Caenorhabditis elegans: one gene and its partner. The protein of the gene in region 2 purifies or fractionates together with the protein of the main gene of each other region. This does not show direct contact. Each region holds a gene or a part of one and is shown on either strand. Other genes may lie near its edges.

Region 1 (4,113 bases), on a different chromosome or scaffold from region 2:
AACTCGGCACCGCCCATGATTGCCACGTACGATGTGATAAATTGACGGGCGATGCGTGGTGCTCGGTGCTTGCAGATTATCATTGTGATATTGTTCGCGATTATTATTCGGATAATTTTTATATTTCGACACTCGGCACTGAAGCGGTTTTTGTGGATGGACGGGCGGTACGAAGACCGCGGCTGACACCGTTTGAGGCAGCTGAGAAATTGAGAACTCGAGGTATTGGAAATGCCAAGAAATGGGCGGGGATTGGAAACTCCGTCTACAAAATGGATAATAAAAAATTGAGGAGTGCGGAAAATGTGGAAATTTTAATTTTTTTTCCGAAAAATTCCAAAAACTCAATTTTTTTGGTGAAAAATACTAAAAAAATCTACAATTTTTAGGGTTTTTAAGGCATATTAAAATCAATTTTTTCTGAGAAAATTCTGAAAATCCGAATTTTTTGATTTTATTTGTTTTAATGCAAAAATATCTACAATTTCTAGGCTTTTTTTCCAAATTAAATTATTTTTCCTGATAAAATTCTGAAATTCCGAATTTTTTTGATTTTTTTTCAATTTTCCTTTAAAAAAATGCCAAAAAATCTACAATTTTTAGGTTTTTTTTCTGATAAAATTCTAAAAAATTACGAATTTTTGGGATATTCTTCATAAAAAGGATCCATTACTTATTGAAAAAAATTTAATTTTTGCAGGTTCCTCAACAATCATCCCTCCACATATCAAATGTCGATGCCAAAAACATTCTGATCTACAAATTTCGCGCCAAGAGAGCACCGGTGAACTCGTTCGCTGTGGAATCCTGAAACTGGAGCACGGAGCACGTATTCAAATTGGCTGTGTCGCGTTCATCTTCTCTAGGATCTAATTATGTGATCTCTTACCTCTTTTTTTCTGTCCGTGAATATCACGTATTTTGATTTTGAAATTTTTTTATGTGAAATCGTAAAATTTTAATGATTCTTTTGGGTGTTTTTTTTTTTGGAAAAAAAAGATTTTTCCGGCAAACGACACGTACAACAATTGCTGAAATTGAAAATTTCCGGCAAATTCGGCAAACCGGCAAGTTGCCGAACTGCAATTGCCACCCATCCCTGTTGTGGGTGACAATCATTTTCCAAAATTTGAAATTGAAATGTTCAAAAAAAAATTGAGCAACGCAGGTTCTACTCCTACAACAGTAGGTGTATGGAATAAAATACTCAGGCAACTCAAATCTAATATGAAAATATTAAATAGCAATATTTTTGTAGTAAATACGAGAAATAGTGCGTCCATATAATATTACTAAAAATTTCGAATAGATTTCGATTGTCTCAAAATATTACAATTTGATCTCAAAATATTGCGAAATATTCTCAAAAGATTGCTCAATCTAAAAAGATTTCGAATAAGTCTCGGAATATTGCGATTTTATCTTGAAATATCACCCAACTACAAAAATATTGCTATTTAATATTTTCATATAAGATTTGAGTTGCCTGAGTATTATCTAAAACTTTGGGAATATCATTATGAGTGGTGTTGCTCTCGCTCTAACAGGATAAAATATCATATTTCCCAGAGTTTTCAATTGGTGTCAGAGTGTCCCATTTCGGTTTGATCTACGAGAAGCGCTGACGTTACGGTTTTCTGTACAAAAATTTGTAGATCAAACCGTAATGGGACAGCCTGACACCACGTGAGTTTGTCCGGTTATGCCCTGCATTTTGCAAATGTTATGATATTTATAATTTTTATAAATAACATTTTTCAATTGTGGAAGACTGTTAGAGTTTCTTCTGCCAAATGTACCTCCAGAATTTTTTATTTAGATGTGGTTAATGTTCATATCTCTGACCCCATGCCTGCCTGTGTATTAGTTGGAGTGGTCAGGACCAGTGTACATCTATAACGTATGTAGTACCCATTATCTTTTTCCTAATCAATAACCTGTTGGTTCACCAAGTCATTCATTTTCTTATTCATTCTTCTTACAACCATGATGAGAGGTTTTCCAATTTTTCGATTACCGCATAAACCACTACGTTTATTGCTGAAAACTATGGAGGTGCAAGATTTGTGAGTGCATTTTTTTCCCAACTGGAAACATAAATATTCTTATAAGTAGAAACAAGTTTTCAGAGTGAGGATATCGTTTTATTCAAAAACTGCCAAACATGCTGTTGAATCGTTGAATATGAAGCTCATATATTTTTATATAACAATTTCTGGGACAATACAATTTGATATCTTCACTTATAATATGGAAGATCTCAATTTGAAATTGTCTGTGACACAATCTGAAGGAAGGAATTTGATTCGAGTGCACGGTGAAAAAGTAATGACAGGAATCAGTTTGCGGGAGTTTATAGATCAAATTCTTACAATATTCCATCAAGCAACTATTCATAAGCTATTTATTAAGCATATCGACTACGATTATCTAGAAGAATTCAATAATTTGAATATTCAACTTTTACACCTCGCGACTAGGAGCTCACTGAAACATTTTGCAAGACGATTCGATTTTCTAACTTTAGAGCAAATTACTTGGGAAACTCGAGATTTCCAGTCACTTGTGGGCCTCAACTTCAAACATTTAGAAACAAGAAGCACTTTTAAACTAGAAGACTTACTCGTTTCAAATACTTCTCAAATACTTATTCATGAACCATTGCCCCTAACAGATCTATGCATATTTCTAAAACATTGGATCAATGGATCAACTGAACGGCTGGAATTATTCCATATGCGTCTTCCTCAAAATTTTCAGAAGGAAGAATTTATTCAGAATGCCTTAAGTGGTATTAAATACAAAAAACTGGACGTCGACCAAAAACTGGAGTTCGAAGCAGCTGTGGATGTATGGAAGGACTCACACAGAGAGGTGAAAAACGAGGGATTTGGAATCCAAAGGAGCGATGGTACCTACGCAATTATTGTTGTGTGTGATGAGTTTGCAACTAACAAGTATTTGAAGATGTTTGTTTGGAAGCCGATTGATTCAAGTATCGGAGATCTCCTTAAAATTGCATCGTTTTAAATGTTAGTTTTGATTTTTTCTTTGTATTTTTGCGCTAAAATACGGTAAATCTTTTGTTTAATGCGAAGAGGTACGCACCTTTAATGAGTACTGTAATTTTAAACTTATTTTTTGCCGCGTGGTTTCCGTTGCTCGAGCCAAAAAAATGCCGAAGTTATTTATTAGAATTTATTCTTGATTTTAATCGATAAATATATATTATTTACCACAAACCATTTCGACTTTGATCAAAGCTTTGATTTAAATATATTTAATCTTAAATTTCCCGCTGCAAACGCGCTCGCTGACACGGCGCAGAGATAAGAGGGCGCCAGAGAAGTTTTGAGAGAAATCATTTTTTTGAATTTTATTTTCAATGTTTCCTGAATTTCAGCTCAATTAAAGCGGAAAATGTTTATTTTTGCAGAGTATCTACGTGGTCACAAGAGGAAACTTGTACAAAATTAATTTAAATGTTAAACATCTATTTTAAAATGATTTATTATTTATTTTTCTGTTGAATAAATTGAATAAACTTAAATCTTGAATTTAAATCGTGAAATTTAAATCGTTTTGTAATTCTGGTTGCCAATTTACCAGTTCATTTCTATTTTATTAACAATTTCCGCACAGATCATCAGTTTCCCTTCCAGGAATCCCAAAAAATGGACAGATATTACGGTAGCCACGTGGCAAATTCAAGTTTTGACTCATTTATGCAATCTGTGGATCCATTTGAGCCAACACCGAAACGAAGATCCACTGGAGAGGTAATTATGCGAAAAAATCCGGAAAAGCTCGAACTTCAGAGGTTTTTCCAGCTTTTCAAGGAGAATTCTTGAGAAATTGGAAAAAACATAGAAAAACTGGCAGAGTTTGCTCAAATTTTTGTATATAAATGACTGCCTTTGTCAATTTTTGCAGAATATTGTTGAAAATCGAACAATTTCATCAAAACATTGCTGAAAATACAGAAAACCTGAAAATTTCAATGTTTTTCGAGTTTTATGCAGAAAAATGCGATAATTTTCGCCTGAAACTCGTTTTTTTTCAAAAAATCTTTTAGAAAATTGAAGTTTTGAGTATGCTAAAACAATAAATCAA
Region 2 (5,837 bases):
TTTAAAAGTGCAACCAATAAAATATTCTCAAGTCGACTGGATACGTACGTCTCCAGAATTTATAAGCGGGTTACCATGGAGATGTGAACGAAGGGAACATGAAGATGCAGAATGAAGGACCAACGGCTTCATATTTCTCAATTCGAATTGTTGGGTGATAAAGAAAAGCCCCCTTTTTTCTGAAACATTTCAAAATGTCCTTTATTATAAAACTTTGAAACATTTTGAGTGATTCATCCATCATATTTTCTGCTGATTTACTTACGCAGCCATCAAGCCGAATCGTTTCCCATCTGCACGATTCCGTCAAAAATCCGTTAATTAGAGGGTTGGCAATAAAATGGCTTGACAGATGTCACACACCATTTTAGAAGCTTTCTTTGTCTCACTGACTGTCTGACTGCCCTCTGCTTCCTATCGTTATTGTTGCACAACATCTGCCACTCCACAAAGCTAAGCGTTTTCTATCATTTTTTCCCGCAAATTCTAAATTTATTTTCTGATGATTTTGAAATTTGAAACTCAATAAATCAATGTACAGTTTATTCCTACTTTTGGCAATTTTGGGATGCATTAAAAAGGTAAGTGAATAGGGTGAAGTGGGGGAAGTGATAATCAAATTCACAAGTTTCTCTCTGGCATGATGTATGAAATGTCATCCCAAGGATGACGGTAGAGTCCTTGTTTGAGTCGTGATTGGTCCAAATAATGTCCGATGAATCCGATGGAGCGACCGAGCACAAACATTCCATTCAGAGCACCTATCTCGATAACTTCTTGAGCTTCAGCTGTTGTGAACATCCCACTGTTGCGCAAGATGTCGACGAAGATGATGGCAATAGCTCCATCAACATTTAGAATGAGGTTTGGCTTCTTGGCAGTGGTGATCTTCTCAACTTCCAGAGCATAATCGAGAAGTGGTGTTTCTTGAGCAAACTCCTTTTTGTTCAAAGCAAATCTCTTGAGAATCTCGACACGCTTATCAGGGTTATTGATCTGAAATTATTTCATCAATTATCAAAAAACTGTATTTTCTTGAAACTCACGCTCTTGACACGATGGCCGATACCCATAATATGAGTTCCACGTTTGCGCATTTCTCCGACAAACTGATTTGGAGACCACCCTTGATCGAAAGCCTCAGAGAATTGACGAGCAGCTCCATCGAGAGCACCTCCGAATCGGTCACCGATGGTGAGGAGTCCAGATGTGAGAGAAGATATCAAGTCCTTTCCAGCGCGAGCACAGACGATAGTATTATGAGCACCAGAAACTGCTGGTCCGTGATCAGCAGTGAGCATCAAACAGATCTCTATGAACTTGTTGGCATGTGGAGGGAGACGTTTCTGAAAAAGGAAAATATACAAGGCAAATTAGATTTTTTTTTGAACCTGGAACCACAGCAAGCCTAGAACTCCACCGATTCCCATATCCGACTCGAGGACTTTGGTGATTGGGACGCCAGCATAGTTCAATTCTTCTCCGCGTTCGTCACAAATAGAGGTCATGAAGGAAGCTGGTTTGCGAATAAGCCCGAGTTCCCGAGCCCAGGCATAGTCCATTGGAACTGCAGGTGGTGGAACTTCCGGCTGTGGAACGATGATTTCAAGTCGAAGCAATTCTTCATAAGTCTGACGAATCTTGTTTCCGAGGTCGTCAAACGAATCTGGAACCAAAGCACCAGCAGTACGAAGAGCTGTATTTTTGCATGCAGCAGTTTCTCCTTGTCCATTTGCAGAAGCTCCAGCATGACCGAACTGAACTTCTGAAGTAATGTGATCTGCACATGTTCCAATGCACCAAGCAATGAGAGGCTTCGTGATTTTCTTTTCTTTCAATAGCTCGACAATACGATATTCTTCTATACCTCCAACTTCTCCAAGGAGGACAATCATCTTAACACGATCATCGTGTTGATATCTCATAACGTGGTCGGTGTACGTACTTCCTGGATAGCGATCCCCTCCGATAGCAATTCCTTCGTAAACTCCGTTGGTATTCTGTGAAATAATGTTGTTGAGCTCGTTCGACATTCCTCCTGAGCGGGACACGTAAGCGACACTTCCAGGACGATAAAGTTTCGAAGCAAGAATATTATCCATCATTCCTCCGGTATTTCCGATCTTGAAACATCCTGGCTTGATTCCTCCAACAGTAGCAGGACCAATTAAGGTAACACCCTTATCTTCAGCAATTTTAAGCAATTTTCTTGTTTGATTTTCTGGAACTCCTTCGGCAATAATTGCGATAACCTTGATTTGTGTAAATTGAAGAGCCTCCAGAACAGTTTCAAAAACTGAACGCATCGACGCGAACGTGACCATGACAGTGGCATCTGGATGACTCGCGAAAGCTTTTGCCATAGATTTGTAAGCAGGAATAAGGATTTCTTTCTGTCCGAAATAATACTTTTGCTTGTTGTCTCCAGTGAACGGATAGGTTGAAGCGACGACTGATGGGGAGTGTCTTCTGCAAACAAAATCGAAATCAAGCATTCCTTGAATAGCTTTGTGTTGTTGTCCCCAAATGATAGCCTTTGTGTCGTTCTCGAACAAGCTTTGATGAAGAGGGTGCCTCTTGGCGAGAGGATGTTCGATTGTGGAAGTGTTCGGAGCTGGAGATGCTGGAGGACGTTCCGTGCCTGCAGTCTGAAAACAAAAACTAAATTATTTCCTATGAATAATTAGAACATACGTTTCTTTCTGGGCTCAACAAAAATTGTCCGGTGGTTTGAGGAGCCGTCGGGACTGTTGGCATTGGCTTCAATCCGAGCGCAGCTCCGACAATTGCAGTCATATGAGTTTCCGGTCCAAATACATAAATCGGAATTTCTAGTTTTGTGGCAGCATCCTTGACACGTCGCAGTCCTTCTTGGTAGTTCGGACCACCACGTCGAACGTAGATGGAAACATTATGTTCCTTGAGCTTATCAATGAAAGTTTCGAACGCACGAACGATTCCTCCGAATGTTTTTGCGACATTTGTGAAGTTAGCAATGGATCCACCAATGATGAGAACCTTACCATCAGGACGTGGAGCACCTTCTGTCATGACGGATAAAATAGTCTTGGCGTACTCGTAAGTTTGAGCTTCCGATGGATCTCCAGAATATTCTCCGTAGTTAGCAAGTTCAGATGATCCTCCAAGATCACAAACAGTATCGGTAAACACAACTGATGCTCCTCCACCAGCCACCATGGTCCATACGCGTCCCTTTCTGTTAAGAATAGTCAGCTTCAAAGATGCTCCAGTCTTCGCATCCATATCAGAAATGTATTGCTCCTCCGAAGTCAAATCACGTCCAAATGGTGCCGGGAACTCCAGAGTCGGAGCGATTCGTGCAGAAGCATTCCGACCGCTCCATTTATCCGAGCACAGAAAACTGGCAGTCTCGTCAAGCTTTGCAGCCAAGTCCAAAATATGAATCTTGCCATTGGTGAGAACAAACGGATTGATCTCCAAGTATGTGAAGTGAAGAGCTTTGTAGGCTTCGTATAAGCTGCGAACGAACTTTCGGATATCATCCTTATCACTACATGGCCCGAGAAGCACGCCTAGTTCTCTCTCCGAAATTGACATAGCATTGTCATCAAGTTGAACTGGAACATGGACTGATCTGGCCTGAAAATATGAAAATTTTTGAGAAATAATTACCTACTACAAACCTTTTCCTCGACGTCTCCAATATCAACTCCTCCCTGCTCATAGAACATAATAACATCGCGACAGCGTTCGCTGTAGATCGCGATGTACATTTCTTCATTTTCAGTATGAGCACAAAACGGCTCAACAATAAACGTGTGCAATCTTCCCTCCGTTTGGCCAACTTTCACATAACTGTTTGCCGTCTTGCCGAACCAAGCTTCCAGCTCTTTAGGAGACCCAATCTTAACAAGACCGAGCTTTCCACGACGCTTGATAAGCTGATCCGGCTTGATAACACCCTTGTTGTCTTGTGCAAGCCATTCGTACTTGGCGGCGACGTCAGAAAACTTATCTCCGGCCTTCACGTGAAAAGCATGTGGGGCACTGACAATTCCGGTCGACTCGAAATATTTGTACAAAACCTGCAATTGTTTTTGTAAATCAATCGAATAAAAAATAAAGCTTCATACCTCTTTTCCTGAGAGTTCGCTGACAGCTTTAGCCGACATATCAGTATGGGTGTAATAACCTGAAAATGGACAGTGTTTAATGGAAAACCGGCAAAGTCACGGATATATTGCGTAACAGACGGATGAAATAGAAGAGAAACAGATAGAAATCATTCGAAAAAAGGAGGATTGTGATGCAAGACGACACGCGGTGGCCTACAAAACAGAAAAAGTGCGCTCCTTGTAGCGGCGGAGGCGCTCGAGATCGAGATCAAACCGAATTTATACATATGAGAAAAAGATTTATCGAAAAAGTAGAGAAAAAGAACACTCTCTGGCGTTGACATTTGCATTTTTATTCAAATTCAATATATTTCACTTGTTGACAAGCCGAATAGGGAAAAAACGGTTGAGAAATTATTTGAAACTTGATTTCAGAAATTATTAAATAAATAAAGAAGAAAATCTATAGAATAGCTTCGAGGGAAGATTGTTTTAATTTAAGGTTTTCTATATTCTGAAATTTCAAAAAAAAAAAAAGTTTTAAAACATTTTCCGACGGCTCTGCAGTCACCATTACGACATATTGCAGAAACTACGGTATCCAATACAGTAAGCTTCTAAAGAGACCCGAAGAACTCGGGGGATGTCCAACTGGGGGGATTACTAACTCGGGGGATTGGCCCCGCCCACAGAACCGTGGCTTGCAATACGCCCATTTCTGCAACTGCCGCACGGTTTTAAAACTGTATTTTTATCAATAGAGCGAGGATTAACAAGAAAAAATGATTTTAAAACCGTGCGGCAGTTGCAGAAATGGGCGTATTGCAAGCCACGGTTCTGTGGGCGGGGCAAATCCCCCGAGTTGGTAATCCCCCCAATTGGACATCCCCCGAGTTCTTCGGGTCTCCTTCTGAAGCTTGAAAGAAGCTTCCCTTAGTGAAACTACAATTTGAAAAAACTGAAAATCAACCTACATCTAGCTAATACATTTTAGACCCCAAATATTTACGCACATGCATCAAAAATACATCATAATTTCGCGCAACTTTGGCTAGGCAGTTTAAAGGCGCAAACTGACTGTTTCTAGTGGGTCTCGCCACGATCTCAGTCATAGTGGTTTCTTCAAGTGCCAAATTTTACAAGTTTGTTAATTTGATGTTTAAAAATCCAGGATTAATTATCGAATGGGCGATAAAGGGGAAATACTGCTGAAAATTGCAGACTTTCCAGAAATCCAATGTCTAGGGACATATGTCCTCTTTTCTTTTTGTAATGTCTCGAAGCCGAAACGAGGAGAAACTCTTTATACATAACTTGTACAATACGAAATGGATATATAATAATTGGAGTTCCAATACTACGAATTTCTTGTCACCGGGGTCATGTACTTGTTTCCCACATTTTCATTTCGAATAAACAAAAAAGAACAGAAACAAAACAATTCTAACTTTTGTTTTACTAATCCACTAATCCTCAAAACATTTCATAGTTGCGGAATCGTTTTGGTTTGCTCCTCCGCGGGCTCTCCGAATACTTACTCGCATAAGTTTCCTGTTTTGCTCATGTCCTTGAGCACACGTATTTATTTCTATGTGAATGTGCATACGGGCGGTCCTAAAGATGAGGAATAAGTAGGCATTGTAATTTGAGCTAAAGAAGAAGAAGAAGAAGTCTAGCTCTCTATTCGAACGCCATTTACTTGAAAGTCAAAGTACTTCTAACTTCAAGACCTCTCAAACT

Evidence for each region. Proteins that work in one complex are often made in the same cells at the same time.
Region 1: the proteins of acly-2 (region 2) and fbxb-87 fractionate together in Caenorhabditis elegans (co-fractionation; one large-scale study listed by BioGRID). This does not show direct contact.

The regions. Positions count from the first base shown.
Region 1 is NC_003281.10:10,892,703-10,896,815, forward strand, and holds fbxb-87 (F-box domain-containing protein), read left to right. Parts: upstream 1-1,817; 5' UTR 1,818-1,986; coding exon 1,987-2,066; intron 2,067-2,129; coding exon 2,130-3,030; 3' UTR 3,031-3,032; intron 3,033-3,436; 3' UTR 3,437-3,554; downstream 3,555-4,113. Other genes in the region: athp-1 (PHD-type domain-containing protein), read left to right, coding at 1-222, 701-873; com-1 (DNA endonuclease activator Ctp1 C-terminal domain-containing protein), read left to right, coding at 3,726-3,779.
Region 2 is NC_003283.11:13,114,825-13,120,661, reverse strand, and holds acly-2 (ATP-citrate synthase), read right to left. Parts: upstream 4,175-5,837; 5' UTR 4,155-4,174; coding exon 4,116-4,154; intron 4,068-4,115; coding exon 3,666-4,067; intron 3,622-3,665; coding exon 2,695-3,621; intron 2,649-2,694; coding exon 1,392-2,648; intron 1,347-1,391; coding exon 1,047-1,346; intron 997-1,046; coding exon 622-996; 3' UTR 530-621; downstream 1-529.